Linked DNA regions of Cricetulus griseus. The protein of the gene in region 4 binds, or shares a complex with, the protein of the main gene of each other region. Links are inferred from orthologs where the notes say so. Each region holds a gene or a part of one and is shown on either strand. Other genes may lie near its edges. The genes, in order: Osgep, EKC/KEOPS complex subunit GON7-like, Tprkb and Lage3.

Region 1 (3,418 bases), on a different chromosome or scaffold from region 4:
CTTTAGAGCTTTCTTTTCATATATATTAATGCGGTTTGGGAGGGGCTTTGGAGGGCGAGCAGCCAGCTGACTCTAGGTTTAGTGCCTTTATTCATTTCTACATAGAGGCAAGAAGCTAGTTGAGCTGCCATACACTGTAAAGGGGATGGATGTCTCATTCTCAGGGATTCTGTCTTTCATCGAGGTGAGTGTGAGAGTGGTAACCAGACAGGAGCACACCCCTGCTTTTAAAAGTGATGTGTCCACTTTGCTCACTGTTTATTTCTTACCTAAGCATTCACTCATAATAGGTGCTAGATAGATTATGTAGCAGGTACTGTATACCTTCTGTGTACCGGGCACTACATATTATAGGGAAAACAGTTCCTCCCTACATGGGAAAAAGGCTTGAAAATAAAAATTAACAAAAGAAGATGATGTGGGGTGCAGCACTCCTATAATGTCAGTTGTAATGAAGTCAGCTATCCTTTCAAGTGCAGGAATTTTTGTTTTCATGAAAGCCTCATGTCGGTATTCATCCTTTGGGTTGTCTCCCCCCCTTTAATTGCAGGATGTAGCGCAGAAAATGCTGGCCACAGGGGAATGTACTCCTGAAGACCTGTGTTTCTCCTTACAGGTAAAAGAGTGAAAAGCTGGGATGCAAAACTTAGTCTAGAGTAGAGCTGAACTAAGGTGGGATGCTGCTCTGATGTCTCCCCCTTGTCTGTCTTCCACAGGAAACTGTGTTTGCAATGCTAGTGGAGATCACAGAGCGAGCCATGGCACACTGTGGCTCCAAGGAAGCCCTCATCGTAGGAGGAGTTGGATGTATGTGTCACTGGGCAGTGTGCCTTCCTCCTAGTCCTGAGAGTCATTTTCCTGAAACGCTACATTACCAGAGTTTGGAGGGTTACCTGTTTCATCTCTTTAACTGTTTCACAACCCTCTTCCCTAGTCTTCTGGTAAACTGTCCTGGGAGCACAACTGGTTTGATAGCAAAATGGCCAAATCTAAGTTATCTGTGGTTCCTGTGTCTTCATAGGTAACGTGAGACTGCAGGAGATGATGGCAGCAATGTGCCAGGAGCGGGGAGCCCAGCTCTTTGCCACAGATGAGAGGTGAAGTCCTTCTCTTTGTCTTGAGTTCTTCTGTTCCCATCATTACGGTTTTTCTATGTTTAGGCCACAAGTCTTGTTACTGCTTCTTCCCCAGATTCTGCATTGACAATGGAGCCATGATAGCCCAAGCAGGTTGGGAGATGTTTCAAGCTGGACATAGGACCCCTCTCAGAGAGTCTGGAATTACACAGAGGTGAGTGACATCCTCCTTTGAGAAAGTAGATAGTAGGTACAGGAGACAGGTAGAAATTAACAGGTAGAAAAGTCAAAGAACAGATAAAGCTGTAGGTGATGGGTTTGGTGGCATGTACCTGTAATCCCAATATGTGGGGGCCAGGGCAGGAGGATTTTTATTTTGAGATAAGCCTGGGCTACAGATGCTGTCTCAAAAACAAAACAACAAAAAATGGCGCAAACAGGTAGTCACAGGGTTTTTCCTGCTTTCCACAGGTACAGGACAGATGAAGTAGAAGTGACGTGGAGGGACTAACAACACTAACAGGACCAGAATAGCTTGCCAAGTGGAGTGCTGATGTGGGAGTGAATCTTGGTGATACTATGGACTCTTCTCCTCTCTGGCTAGTGTATGGACCCCACACAAGGCTTAGGGTTCCTGTGGAACCCCAAGATGACTCTGAAATAAAGAGATTGTTTTTGTACGTTGACAACTGGATTGTGTTTTTTAGGACCAATAACAGAGTGAGTGCTGGGTAAATTCTTACTGGTGAGGTCAGTGGACAAGCTGGTGAGGGTCAGAGTAGCACTTGGTTGATGGTGCAGATAGTTTTGACGATTGCCACTTGGAGAAAGTCGTGGGTGCTGTCCTTCTATCCCTTTAACAATAGTCTCCTAACTAATAGTGTTTTAGTGTCATGTCCTGTGCCGAGGCCTCTACACTTAACAAACTGTGTTCACATTCATTGAAGGGGTATTCAGGATATCCCTTAAAAAGACCTGGAAATAGATCCAATTCATAACTTTACTAAAACTCCTGTCCTTCCTAAACTTCATTTAATGTACTCCTTCAAACACTTCACTGGCCAGTATCTGGGAGGCACCCGAGATGTACAACACCTCAGCACCAATACAAGCATCAGAACTGTAGATATCATGCCATATATAGTGCCACAAGAGGTCCTGAACTACCAAGCTCCTCTTTAGCCTCTGGCAGCCAGGTGCTTTGCCATCTTTTTTTTTTTTTTTTTTTTTTTGTCCCACTTCCAAACTCCTGAAACTTATCAGCCATTTGTAAAATCCATATATCCTCACCCTCTTTTTCAAATGTTGTCTTCACAGCGTTGCGCTGAGACCTAGTTTTTCGGAAAGACTGCTTCTCTTAACGCCTGGTGGTGAGTCTTTCACATCCATGTACCGCTGGGCATGGAGGTGGTGCAGCATCTCTTCTTTCTTTCCCTCCTCTGTCTCTTTGAGACAGGGCCTCTCTATGTAGCCCTGCCTGGTTTGGAGTTTGATGTGTAGACTAGACTGGCCCCAATCTCACGGAGATCCACCTGCCCCTGCCTTCTGAGTGCTGGGAGAAAGGTGTGCACCGCCACGCCCCACCTCTTGCAACGCACTGTTCCATAACTCAGTCTCATCCCGTTCTTCTGCCACAATCTGGCTCTTCAGGTTATTATGTGGAATCCATCCCTTTTCCAGGACCTGAAACCCTTTGATCTTACTTCCTTTCTACATTGTTTGCTATCCTCAGTTAAATTCCAATAATAAACACCTTGCTGCAGATGCTTTGTCTGCCTTTGCCATTTTTATTTTAAAAACAAAACAAACAAACAACAACAACAAAAAAAAAAAAACAGGATCTCATCAAGCTCAGGCTGGCCTTGAACAAACTAGCATAGGATGACCTCATCTATGTCTGCCTCCCAAGCGTTGGGTTACAGGTGTACCTTACCACACCCAATTTATACAGTATTAGGGACTGAACCTCTGGATGGAGCTGCATCCCTAGCCGCCATTCTACTTCTACACACATCACCTGCTTTATACCTACGTCTGTGCAGCCAAAAGTGCAAGTGAGAGAGCCGTGCTGGCTGCTGCAGCCCCCTGATAACAATGCAACTGAAGGCAGTCAGTCCTTCCTGCATCTCCCTCATTATCTTCTTAACCCTCCCACTCGCTGTCCTTGATAACTTCCGGATCTCCTGATCCTCAGATCCCCAACATATCTCTCCCTGTACACGTCACCTTTGTCTCTTAGTTGCCTCTCAACTATTTTTTATATATTGTATATATTTCAACATTTTGAACTATTTTGCTAAGTTAAGTTACGCTATTGCTGTCAAGAGACAGTACACTGTGAC
Region 2 (4,519 bases), on a different chromosome or scaffold from region 4:
GAGCCTTTCTTTCCTCCTTCCAAGGAAGTGGGGTGTGTCTTAGTGGTGATCCTTTGATTTAAATGCCAGTGACCATCTGCGACTATTTCTGGGATACAAGATTTAATTCCACAACCCAACAATTTTGCAGTGCAAACCCAAGTTGGTTAACGAAGACAAATAGCATTATGACTTTAGTCCACACCACACAGTAACTCCAAGTTCTTTCCCTCCTTCCCCAGTCTTCCACTCCACCCACGGGCATAGCTAGCTTGCTTCCTTCCACCAATTCTCATCCTGTTGGTGCCTTCCTACCCACCCTTCTCCACTTTTGTACTTAGATGTACGGGATGCGTCACTAAACCCTACATCACCGGCCCTCAAACAACTCTTGTTTACAAGGTCGCACAGGCGCCAAGCAGATCCTTTCCTCCTCTCTCGGCTTTCCAGGGTCACATGATGTTTTGGTTCCGATCTACTCCGGAGGGAGAAGGGGTGTCTGTCACACAACACATACACTCGGAACTTTACCGGGAAGGAAAAAAGAAAGAAAGAAACCAGCTAGCAGTTAAACTAGACTGCACGGGCACATTTTTCAAATCCAGCCCACTTCCCTTTAGCTCTGCTCACCCTCCCCCCCCCACCTGGTGCCCAATTAAGCTTCTTTAAGAGTGGAAGGAGTGGGGCGAAGAATATCGGGGTGGTTTGAGAAGTCACGAGGACGAGCTCGTGGAAAGCAGGCCACCAAGAGGCGACAACGAGGAGGGCAGAGCTGCTCCTGCTGCTGCTGCTGCTGCTGCTCGGGGACCGGAGCCTGCAGAGAGCCTCGGGCAGGGCGGAGGGAGAGCCCTGCTGGCGACAAGCTGAGGATCAAAGGGCCGCAGGGCCGGCCGGGGCTGTGGAAGCCCGGGGTGAAGGGCAGCCCTGGAGCCGGGGCGGCCGCCGCCGCCGCCGCCGCCGCCGCGGGCGGGAAGCAGCAGAACGGCGGGTGCAGCGGGCCGCGCGCACCTGCGAGTAGGAGCACTTCTCCGAGTCGCTGGCGCCCAGGACGGCGCACGCCTCGTTCTCCAGCTCCTCGTCCTCCTCAAGCACGTCCACCAGCGACACCACGGGCTCCAGCTCCGCCGGGCAGCCGGCGGGGCTCTCCGCTCCGGCCATCCTCAACTGTCACAGCGCTCCGCGGCGCGGCCCAGGCGGAGGCGGGAAAAGGGACCGCCTGCGGGGGGGGCGTCGCGAGGAGGCGGGGCCTGATCGTCAGGCAGCCAATGGTAAAGGTGGAGATGGAAGAAAATGGGCGGGGCGGGTGCCGGGAGTCGGAAGTCATGCCTTTTACCCGTCTCTCCCGCCCGCGCCGGCCCGCGGGGTGGCTTCCGCTTCCGGGTGGCGGTTCTCTGTGGCGCGCCGTTGAAGCGAAGGGGTCGCCATGGAGCTGACGGGCGAGTACGTCGGGTGTGACGGCGAGCCCCGGCGGCTGCAAGTGTCCTGTGAGGCGTCGGGCGACGCGGACCCTCTCCAGAGCCTGTCGGCGGGTGTGGCCCGGATGAGGGAGCTGGTAGCCGAGTTCTTCGGGCCCCTCGTGGAGCAGCGGGACGCGCAGGGCGTGACGGCAGATCCGGAGGACGCCGAGGAGGGTGAGCGCGGGGCGCCGGGGTCTCCGGCTGTGTGAGGGAAGGGCTGGCAGCCTTGGCACAGCGAGTCTGGCCGGCCGGCCGGCGCGGGCGAGCAGGAAGGCTCGCATCTGAAAACGGTTGGCCCTCTCTGCCCCGCGTTTTCCACGACTCTTCCTTCACCTCAGCCAGAAGAGCGTGGCGAGCGTTTGCCTGGGGGCTGGACAGGGAGCCGGGTCAGCCCGACGCCTCCCGTCTTGCGGGGCGCGGAGGACTGAGACCCGCAGAGTGGAGCCTGGGGGCGTGGGGGGTGGGCTGGGCTGGGGGTCTGCAGTCGCTGCTAGCTGGAAGGAAGACCTAAGGGGCGGCCCGTGGCGCCAGTGGGGGGGAGTCTTCCCCAGGTGTGAAATTAGAAACCTGTTTGGCACAGCGGGCACAGCTTCGGAAGGTCGAGACCGACTGTGTCGTGGGGAGTCTTAACCCTCAGAGGGTCCTTTCTCGAGTCTGTTTTTGAAAGTATAAGGGGGTTTCGGTTTTGCTGTGTGGGTGTGGGTGTGTGTTTTAAAGTCACCGATAGTCTCATGCGTGCATGTAATGCGCTGTGGTCATTTTCTCCTTCTCTTTCGTCCCCTGCTTGAACCATTCCCGATGACACACACACACACACACACACACACACTCACACATACACACACACACACACACACACACACACACACACACACACACACACGCCGCTTTCTTTTCTGCCTTCCTTTTTGTTGTCTCTCACTGAGTTTAAGGTTCTTTGTATGAGAAGGGGTGGATGGTTATTTACTGGAGCAAGGGCAACTCAGCGGTGACTACACCACAGAAGAAAACGTCAGCTCCTCCCCCAGCACCCATTAACTGTCAAAAACTCCTCCGGGCGGGATGGGACCCAATGAGCCCCTGTTGAGGTTGCCGTCTCGTTCAGGTAACCACAGTTGTTGCCCCTGTGTCCGAGCCATGTCATGGTCAAAAGAAAGTTTCACCACAGCCATTCCCTTCCTCTAGCCCCTACTATCATTCACCCCCTCTACTGTTGTAGAAATAAACTGTTAGTTTTTTGGGTTTTGGTTTTTTTTTTAACAAGGTGGATGTTTTGCCTGCCGCTTACTTGTGTCTGTGCACCACTGCTCTATGCAGTGTGCTCCGAGGCCAGAAGAGGGCATCAGAACCCCTGCAGGCAGTGGTCTTAACCACTGATCTCTCCAGCCCCAACTCTGTTAATAGAAGAAAAAAAAAAATTGTAGACAGTGTCACAGGGTACCACTGGTTGGCCTTGGATTAGACCAGGTTGACTTTGAATTCGCAGAGATCTGCCTGCCTCTGCCTCATCAGTGCTGGAATTAAAGACATGCACCACCAAACCTGACCTTTGTTAAATTTTATTTTTAATCTTGAACACAAAAGAGATTTCATTACTCTGAGCTAAGGAGTCAGTTCTTCTACAGAGGAGATTAAACTGTACTGTTCTTTATAATAGGGTTATTGACTGTCATTAAGAAGAACAGTAAGTAAAATCTGGGGATGGTTGTGGTGCACACCTTTAATCCCAGCATTCGGGAGGCAGAGGCAGGCTGTGAGTTAAAGGCTAGCCTGCTCTACTGAACGAGTTCTAGGACAGCTAGGGTTACATAGAGAAATCCTGTCTTGAAATAATAATAATATTATTATTTAATAATAATAATTTAAAATAATAATAATAAAGTATTAGCTAGGTGCATTGGTCAGGGTTCTCTAAAGAAGCAAAACCTATTGATAGAATATCTTTGTTAGAGTGCCCTTACAGCCTGTGGTCTGAATAGTCCAACAGTGGCTTTCTCCTTACAGAAACACCAAGGATCCAGTAATTGTTCAGTCTCTGAGACTGGATGCCTCAGCATTCCTAATCTGGTGCTGGAGTCCCAGCAAAGTAGGTTATAACACCAGCAAAGAGGTGTCTCAGGAATAGATAGATGAACTTGCTAGTCAGAGTAAGGGCAAGCAGGCAAAAACTATAGTACCCCAGTTACACCACTAGTTCTCCAAAGTTAATTGGAAATATGTTTATACCAAAACTCAATAATTGTAGTAGCACTGTTCATTAATAGCTGTGAAATCAAAATAATACAACTGCCCATCACCAGAGTAAAACATGAGCATTCTTTTAATTGTTGAATAGTATTCATTGTGTAGAATAAAGTATTTGGCTGGGGAGATTGCTCAGTGGGTAGAGCTGCACAAGCATGGGATTGTGAGTTTGGCTTCAAGAACCCATGTACTGCCATGTGCCCATAATCCTAGTGCTCCCTGCTCCCTGCTCCCTGCAGTGAGTTAGGGAATAGAGCCAGGAAGCATAGTGTATGCAAAGATACATTACCCCCCCCCTTTTTTTGTTTGTTTGTTTGTTTTTTAGGGGGGATCAAGACAGGGTTTCCCTGAGTAGCATTGGCTGTCCTAGAACTCACTCTGTAGACCAGGCTGGCCTTGAATCAGAGAGCCAGCTGTCTCTGCCTCCCAAGTACTGGGACTGCAGGTGTGCACCGCCACCACCCAGCTGAGATGCTTTCTTAAAGTGGAAGGTAAAGACCTACAATGAGTTTGTGACCTCTGTGTGTGCTATGGTTTGTGCATACACATCACATATACACACAGAGGAGTGAAGTGTGGATCCATGCTACAACAGTAATGAATTCTAAAACAGTAAGTCTGGCACAAATGGCTACACATTCTATGTTTCTTTCCATTTATATGAGATGTCTAAAATAGGCACATCCATAAAGGTAGAAAGTAAATTAGTAGTTCTAAGAATGAGAGGAACAAATTTTGGAAGTAATTAACATATTTCAGAATTAGTGGTGATGGTTAGGGAGCAAGTGAATATTCTTTTTTCCCCCTTGGTTTTCCAAGACCCTGATTCTCTTTATAAC
Region 3 (3,175 bases), on a different chromosome or scaffold from region 4:
AATGAATGGAGAACAGATAAACAGCTGGACTAGAGTTACATCAGGAGGGCACCTGGTTCAGGAAGCTCCTGATTCTCCATGTGCTAATCTCTGTTTTCTCTCTGGTAGATCATCGATCCATTTCAGATACTTGTGGCAGCAAACAAAGCTGTTCATCTCCACAAACTGGGAAAAATGAAGACAAGGACTCTGTCTACTGAAATTATCTTCAACCTCTCCCCAAATAACAATGTAATGTGGTGACTGACTTTATTTCTGTTGGTCTTGTCATTGTAGAATGTGCCCTCCCCCCTGTGTAGCAGTGGGGGCCGGGTTCCTCCAAGCCAGCTGTTAGTACTAAGCCAAAATAGTTTCATAGAGAGGTCTAGACAGCCATTTAGTACTGCAAGTAGCTGTGGAGTCAGTTTCCTGGTCAAAGGTTAAAATACTTGAGGATGGTATTATCTGCAATGCCCATATTATGTTAAGTAGACCCCTGAGCAATTTTGCTTAAGAAACTGGAAGAAACCCACACTATAAAACATGAGGTATAGATACATTTTGTGTCAGTCTCCCTGTAAACTCCTAGAGATGGGCTGTGTGTCTTTTTTTTATAGTCAGTACCTGGAACTTTCTGTGACCTGGTAGAGCAGTTGATGCCTGCTCACTCACACACCCAGGGCATAGAAAAATTCATGGTTTGAAACCTTCATAGGAATGCAAACCCCCCCCCCCACCTCCCAGGTTTGGGTGTGTGCTTGAATGTGTGTGTGTGTGTGTGTGTGTGTGTGTGTGTGTGTGTGTGTGTGTATGTGTGTGTTGTATGTGTGTGTATATGTGGTTGTGGTACACAGATTCATGTGTGGGAGTGTGGGGGCCTGAGTATTACAACATGATTGTGAAGGTCTAAAGGACAACCTCAGATGGTCCTTGCCTTCTACCTTTTCCAGACAAAGTCTCTTTGTTTTTCACCACTGGGTACACCTGGGCTTCAAGCTTCTTGGATTCTTCTGTCTCCACCTCCTATCTTGCTGTACCAGCACTGGGGTTATAGACCATTGCTGTTGTACCTGACTTTTCATGGGCTAGGGATTTGAACCAAGATCCTCACACTGGCTTGACAACTGCTTTACCCACTGAGCCATCTCCCCATCCCAGGAGTGCTTATTAAATGGGAGTTGTTGAGGTGATGACATTCTGTGTGTGACATGGAAAAAGATGCCTGACCTCAGCTGATGAGGTCCCAGTATTACTGCTGCTATTAGTAACAGCCAGGTACTAATATCAAAGGGAAGATTTGGAACCATATGGCAAGAATTAAATCACACTTGGTTGCAAAGTTTATAAAATGCAGTCAGCATGGCAACAGAATCCCCCATTAATAGAACCATTGGAAATAATTGAAGACACCATTCCTGATCAAGACGAAGTTCTAGGGACAGAAGAGACAAGTGTGATAGCAGTTGCTGGAAAGGGATTGTAGAAGGGGAAAGTATGCTCTGAGAAACAGGGAGGCTGACGAGCAGGTCAGAAGTATTCCAGACAGAAGACACTGACTCATTTGCCTTTTTTTTTTTTTTTAATCATAGATTTCAGAGGCTTTGAAGAAATTTGGTATCTCGGAAAGTGCCACTTCAGTTCTCATTGTTTACACTGAAGAGGGAGAGAAACAAATAAACCAAGAACACCTAGTATCTCAAGTGGAAGGCCAACAGGTTCCTTTGGAATGTCTTCCAGAAATAACAAAGCTCTCAGAAGTCAAAAAGGTTTGTAATACACGTTTTTTAAGAGTTCAGTAGTTGAATTATACTGATGCTTTTTGTTCATCACTGTTAAAAATTTTGAACTATTCCATTAACTTTAGTTAGCATACAAGATAATGGTTTCATTACCTTTTCACAAATCCTATTACTGCTTTTACTCATATCTGCCTCCTCTCATATTCCCAATATCCTTTGAACTTTTAAGTAATAGTATGGGCCTGGAGAGTTGACATAGCAGTTAAGAGTCAGCAGTTATTCCAGAGGACCTGGGTCTGATTCCAAGTCCGTTCATAACCATCTGTAATTCCAGTTCCAGGGAATCCGATGCCTGCTCCTGGCCTTCGTTGGAACTGCACACACATAGTACACATATATAGAGGCCAAACACCCTTACAAGTAAAATCAAGAGAGGTTTAGAAATATTAAAATAATTTTGCAGATACTTCATAAAAGAAAAGAACTGGGACCTACAAGTTTGTGGAATGTAATTTGGAATAGAGTCACAGAACTGTAAGAAAAGGGATCTCTTTCAACATTCAGTGACTGTGTGAGTTGATATCTACATGTGTACTCAAAACTGATACAAATGGGATTTGTGTGTTCAAGAAATTTGTTTTTTTATATTAATACTTACACTTAAAAAGGATATTTGACATGTGTGGCAAATAACCACCTGCTTTGAACACTTTAAACATTGTGAATGAAACCATTAATGCCATAATAAAATGGTAATGCCACGTGGTAATGTATATGTAATAACCGTGTATGGACTTGCCAGCACTCATAGATTGTCATTCACTTTTACAGATATATAAACTGTCATCACAAGAAGAGAGTATCGGGACATTATTGGATGGTATCATTTGTAGGATGTCAACAAAGGATGTTTTATAAGATGCCCAAAACATCAACAGAAAAATCTGAGTTAATCACCAGCTGTTTTTTTCCTGGTTATAAAATTAACATATCACTGAAAATGGGAAAAAGAAACCACTACTAGCCCTATTTTGTTTTCACTTCTTAAAGACAGAACACTGTCGCTGTTTTTGTCATTGTCTTCTAGTCTTCTGTTTGTATTGGAATAAAGTTTATTATTGTACAATTGGAATAAAAAAGTGCAAGCATGTAGATGGGCGTCGGTGGCTCACACCTGCAGTCCAAGCACTCGGGTGGCAGAAACAGGCGGATCTCTGTGAGTTCAAGGACAGCCTGGTCCACTGCTTGAGTTCCAGGACAGTCTGTCTCCACAGCTACCGAGATACCCTGTCTCAAAAAAACCAAAAAGAAAAGACAGTGCAAGCACCTAGTGAAGGCTACAGTGTTCAAGGCTCTTCCTCAGTAATTGATCCACCAGTTTGCATCTCGCCTCGTGCTGCTGCTTCTCCACATTGCCTCCTGAGCTTCTGATCCTTAGTATTTCATGCATAAGAATT
Region 4 (3,777 bases):
GATTAAATCAAGGTCATCATGCTTCCATGTGAGTGCTTTAATTTTTTTTCATTTTGTGTGTATAGGTGATTTGCCTGCCTGTATGTCTGTGTACCGCATAAATGAAGTGACCACAGAGGCCAGAAGAGGGCATTAGATGACTTGGGCCTGGGCATAAAAACAGTTTGAGCGCATATGGGTGCTTCGGGTCAAACTGAGGTCTGCCGGAAGAAAAACCAGTGCTCTCAACCACCTAGCCACCTCTACAGTCCCAATAAAAATAAATCTTAAAGCTGGGCTATGGTGGTACACACCTTGCAGAGGCAGGCTGATCTCTATGAGTTTGAGGCCAGCCTGGTCCACAGAGCAAGTCTCAGGACTGCCAGGGTTACATAATGACACAAAAAAGTATTCTTTGACAATTTCATACATGTTTACAATGTATATATTTTGAATATATCCATCCCCTATTGTCCTTTCTTATCCTCTATTCAACCCCTTCTTCTTAACAATTACATCTCCATTTTCATGTCTTTCATTAGTGCCTCACTGAATTTAATTAGGGTTGCTTGCATGATCATGGATGTGGGGTTATTTACAGAATTATGAGCAACTTAACAGTGGTTACACTACTGAAGAAAAACAACTCCATTTCCCCAGCAGCCATAAACTGCCAATATCTCCTCAGAAGAGGGGCCTCATGATATTGCTACACATTTATTATATTGATAAAATTCTAATACCAAAAGTTTCCCAAAGTGAGCCCCAAATGACAGGGTGCTTGTGTTTTTAATTTTCCTCTATTTCTGTAATTGTCTTCTTCTACTTTCTACTAATGTAGTTTTTCACTGCTGAGGATTGAATCAAGGACCTCACAACATTAGGTGAATACTCTTATTTTATACAACAAATACCTCTCCTCCAACACAAAGAAAATCTTGAGGTTGAAAATACTCAAATACAGATTAGAAGCACAGCTTTATTTTCTTCAGCAACATTTGAGCACCAAACTAAACAAGTGGCCCCTAAGTGCCTGAGGACCAAGTCAGGCAAAAAAATATTAGGCCCCACATTTAAGTAGCAGGTACTATTTCTGGAATGTTTTCCAGAAAATTGTCTGCTTTGGAGGGAACCGACATAAGGTCAGATCTGAGCCCCTTTTCCCAGGCAGGCTTAACGAGAAACTGGGGGCCCAAAGCGCTTTATGGTGTTCACCACTAGGGCGAGCTGGTCAAGAAAGTTCATGATGGAAATTCGGAGGAGGCGAGAGTCTTCTGAGATCCAGTGTCTAAGAGTGAGGAAAAAGAATATTAAGTTTAAAATAGTAATTCTTATCCTTCTTTCCTTATTTATTTTGGAAAGAGAGAGAATCTCACGATGTAGCCCTGGCTGGCCTGGAATTCACAGAAATCTGTCTGCCTCTGCCTCCTGGCTCCTACCTTTCTGGATCTTCCCTCAGGCTCCCACTGTACCATATCCTGCAGGTAAAGACTGGTCCACTGCACCAAGAGTCTTCTTAGAAGTCACCCTAGTGTGCTGTCTCTAAGGAAGTGCAGTCTTGGGTAGAGAATAGTCCAGCCACCTACCCAGCATGCCAGACTCTTTCAGCACTTACACCTCCAGCATGCAGCCGCTGACTTTAAGGTCTTTCCCCAAGATTCCTCGGTGCGGTTCGGCATCAGGAGCTAGGGACCCACAGGCGATTTCTGCCTCCAAAGAGGTCGGGAAAGGCACTGTAAGGGCACTGGTAGAGACTCAGGAAAGGCACCATGTTGAATCGTTTTCGCCTACTTGGCCCTCTAAAACCATCTCATCTGGTCTAAGCTCCCCAGACTACATCTTGCACATTGCTTGGGCAATTCCTGTTCATTCCCTCCACCCTCCGGTTCCCCTCCCCCTGTTATCTTCTCATGCCCAGACCTCCCGTGGTTAACAGACCTCAATCAGCCGGTCCCCCTGCTCCCCTCCACCCCACCCCCGTCTCCAGACTACCCCTTTTCCCTCCTGAAGCATCCCTAAAGTGACCCAGTTGTCCCTGTCCGGTAGGATACAATCTATGATGTCGGATTCCCGGCCTTTGGGTTAAAGGAACAGTGCTTTTGCTCCAACCGGAGACTTCCGATGCTCGTGCAGCAGGGTGAGCTCCACTGGGAATAACTGCCACTGCGCCTGCATCACCGGGACAGCAGCAGCTGGTCGGGGAATCGGCGCCATCTGCAGTGTGGCCTAAACTGTGTGCTGCTTGCATGTCTACCGCTGCTCCACCCTCCAAGCCACCCTCCGCCATCGCTACGGCCCAGAGCCCGCCTTATCCTCCGGAAGCTCCGCCCTCGCTCAGGCTGCCAATCCCACATGCACCTGCGGGAATGGGCGGGCGACAAAGTTGCTAAATTGGGTCGGTCCCCATCTGGAGGCCTCTGTTGGGATCTCTAAGAGATTGATCTAGTCTCCCTCAGCCTCCAAAGTGCCATACCACATCCAGCTTTCCCTTCAGTTTCTTTTTAAAAGGGATCTAAGGAGCCGGGCATTGGTGGCAGATGCCTTTAGTCCCAGCACTCGGGATGCAGAGAGAGAGAGAGATATCCAGGCTGTCCTGAAACTCACAGATACAAGCCTGCCAAGTGTGCTGGGATTAAAGGTGTGTGCCACCACCATCTGGTTTAAGATTTATTTATTTTTATTTTATGTGTATAAATGTTTTGCCTGTTTTTACATGTGTGTAGTGCCTGTTGTCCATGTGGGTACTGGAACTGGAATTATGGGTGGTTGTAAACTTTTATGTGAGTTCTGGGAACTTAACCCAGGTCTTTTGCAAAAGCAGCAAGTTCTCTTAATCACTAAACTATCTGTCTAGCCTCTCTCTCTGCATCACACCTTCAAAAGCTCTGAGATTGATCTTCTTCTTGTCTACAGCATATCCCCCACAAAAGTTTCTAATTTCTTTCTTTTTCTTTTTCTTGATTTTTCGAAACATGGCTTCTCTGTGTATTAGCCCTGGCTGTCCTTGAACTAGCTCTGTATAACAAGCTGGCTTTGAACTTCACCTCCTGGCAAATTTAAGATATCTTTTACTTATTCTTTGACAATTTCATACATGTGTACAATGTTCCTTGATCCTACCCATGCCCAACTCACTCTTCTCACTCTGTCTAATTTCTAGTATAGATTAAATCAATGCTTAAAACCCTGTATATTGGGCTGGGCGTTGGTGGTGCACTCCTTCAATCCCAGCACTCGGGAGGCAGAGGCAGGCGGATTTCTGTGAGTTTGAGACCAGCCTGATCTACAAGAGCTAGTTCCAGGACTGCCTTCAAAGCCACAGAGAAACCCTGCCTCTAAAAACAAAAAACAAAAAATAACCAAAAAACCCTCAAAAAACACAGACACACATACAGACCAAACACTCATACACATAAACATTTTTAAAACTCTTAAAATAAAAAAGGTCATGGTGGATTGGATAGAATTTATTTGGTACACCATTTATGTGGCATTTCAAGGTTCTGGTTTCATTCCCATTATCACAATCAACCAACCAACAATCCCTGAAACGTTTTCTAGTGGCACTTGGAATAAAAACCAAAGCTTTGCAGTAGTTTATAAGATCCCTGTATGATGTGGCTCCAGTTCCCCCCTTTTTTTTGCCCCTATGCCACCACATTCTGTGTGGTTACTGGGGCCTTCTCTCTCTCTCTCTCTCTCTCTCTCTCTCTCGCTCTCGCTCTTTTAAAGATTTTATTTATTATGTATATTTATTATGTATATAGTGTTCTGCCTGCATGTATGCCTACAGGCCAG

The links.
Region 1: the proteins of Lage3 (region 4) and Osgep are in contact, whole or in part, in a crystal structure (PDB 6GWJ), measured with the Homo sapiens proteins. The link is inferred for Cricetulus griseus from reciprocal best matches to the Homo sapiens genes LAGE3 and OSGEP. Residues at the interface, in NP_006005.2 of Homo sapiens: Glu76, Ile77, Gly80, Ser81, Leu82, Pro84, Asp85, Asp125, Gln126, Leu129, Val130, Arg132, Thr133, Met134, Arg136, Phe137, Gly138, Pro139, Pro140, Val141, Arg143; in NP_060277.1 of Homo sapiens: Arg50, Ile53, Leu54, Asp55, Leu57, Gln58, Leu61, Gln69, Ala84, Val87, Ser88, Val91, Val92, Arg94, Thr95, Val96, Gln98, Leu99, Trp100, Asn101, Leu315, Ser318, Gly319, Val320.
Region 2: the proteins of Lage3 (region 4) and EKC/KEOPS complex subunit GON7-like are in contact, whole or in part, in a crystal structure (PDB 6GWJ), measured with the Homo sapiens proteins. The link is inferred for Cricetulus griseus from reciprocal best matches to the Homo sapiens genes LAGE3 and GON7. Residues at the interface, in NP_006005.2 of Homo sapiens: Pro60, His61, Ile62, Phe63, Thr64, Leu65, Ser66, Val67, Pro68, Phe69, Pro70, Glu74, Arg102, Ile103, Glu111, Cys113, Leu116, Arg117, Val120, Ile121, Leu124, Asp125, Leu127, Ser128, Val131, Arg132, Met134, Gln135; in NP_115879.2 of Homo sapiens: Met1, Glu2, Leu3, Leu4, Gly5, Glu6, Tyr7, Val8, Gly9, Gln10, Leu17, Asp28, Pro29, Phe30, Gln31, Leu33, Leu34, Val37, Met40, Lys41, Val44, Thr45, Leu47, Phe48, Asp49.
Region 3: Lage3 (region 4) and Tprkb share a complex: the UniProt entries of both Homo sapiens proteins name them as parts of the EKC/KEOPS complex. The link is inferred for Cricetulus griseus from reciprocal best matches to the Homo sapiens genes LAGE3 and TPRKB.

Annotation. Positions count from the first base shown.
Region 1 is NW_023276807.1:206,592,131-206,595,548, reverse strand, and holds the end of Osgep (probable tRNA N6-adenosine threonylcarbamoyltransferase), read left to right. Parts: intron 1-105; coding exon 106-184; intron 185-550; coding exon 551-616; intron 617-716; coding exon 717-807; intron 808-1,021; coding exon 1,022-1,097; intron 1,098-1,191; coding exon 1,192-1,290; intron 1,291-1,547; coding exon of another isoform or gene 1,548-1,587; exon of another isoform or gene 1,588-1,765; intron 1,766-2,393; coding exon 2,394-2,547; 3' UTR 2,548-2,840; downstream 2,841-3,418. UniProt on the Homo sapiens protein: Component of the EKC/KEOPS complex that is required for the formation of a threonylcarbamoyl group on adenosine at position 37 (t(6)A37) in tRNAs that read codons beginning with adenine.
Region 2 is NC_048598.1:103,312,607-103,317,125, forward strand, and holds the start of EKC/KEOPS complex subunit GON7-like, read left to right. Parts: upstream 1-1,340; 5' UTR 1,341-1,402; coding exon 1,403-1,610; intron 1,611-4,519. Other genes in the region: putative E3 ubiquitin-protein ligase UBR7, read right to left, coding at 988-1,137. UniProt on the Homo sapiens protein: Component of the EKC/KEOPS complex that is required for the formation of a threonylcarbamoyl group on adenosine at position 37 (t(6)A37) in tRNAs that read codons beginning with adenine.
Region 3 is NC_048601.1:74,424,763-74,427,937, forward strand, and holds the end of Tprkb (EKC/KEOPS complex subunit TPRKB), read left to right. Parts: intron 1-108; coding exon 109-231; intron 232-1,568; coding exon 1,569-1,745; intron 1,746-2,181; coding exon 2,182-2,256; 3' UTR 2,257-2,271; downstream 2,272-3,175. UniProt on the Homo sapiens protein: Component of the EKC/KEOPS complex that is required for the formation of a threonylcarbamoyl group on adenosine at position 37 (t(6)A37) in tRNAs that read codons beginning with adenine.
Region 4 is NC_048604.1:1,362,541-1,366,317, reverse strand, and holds Lage3 (EKC/KEOPS complex subunit LAGE3), read right to left. Parts: upstream 2,301-3,777; 5' UTR 2,267-2,300; coding exon 2,031-2,266; intron 1,724-2,030; coding exon 1,595-1,723; intron 1,268-1,594; coding exon 1,153-1,267; 3' UTR 939-1,152; downstream 1-938. UniProt on the Homo sapiens protein: Component of the EKC/KEOPS complex that is required for the formation of a threonylcarbamoyl group on adenosine at position 37 (t(6)A37) in tRNAs that read codons beginning with adenine.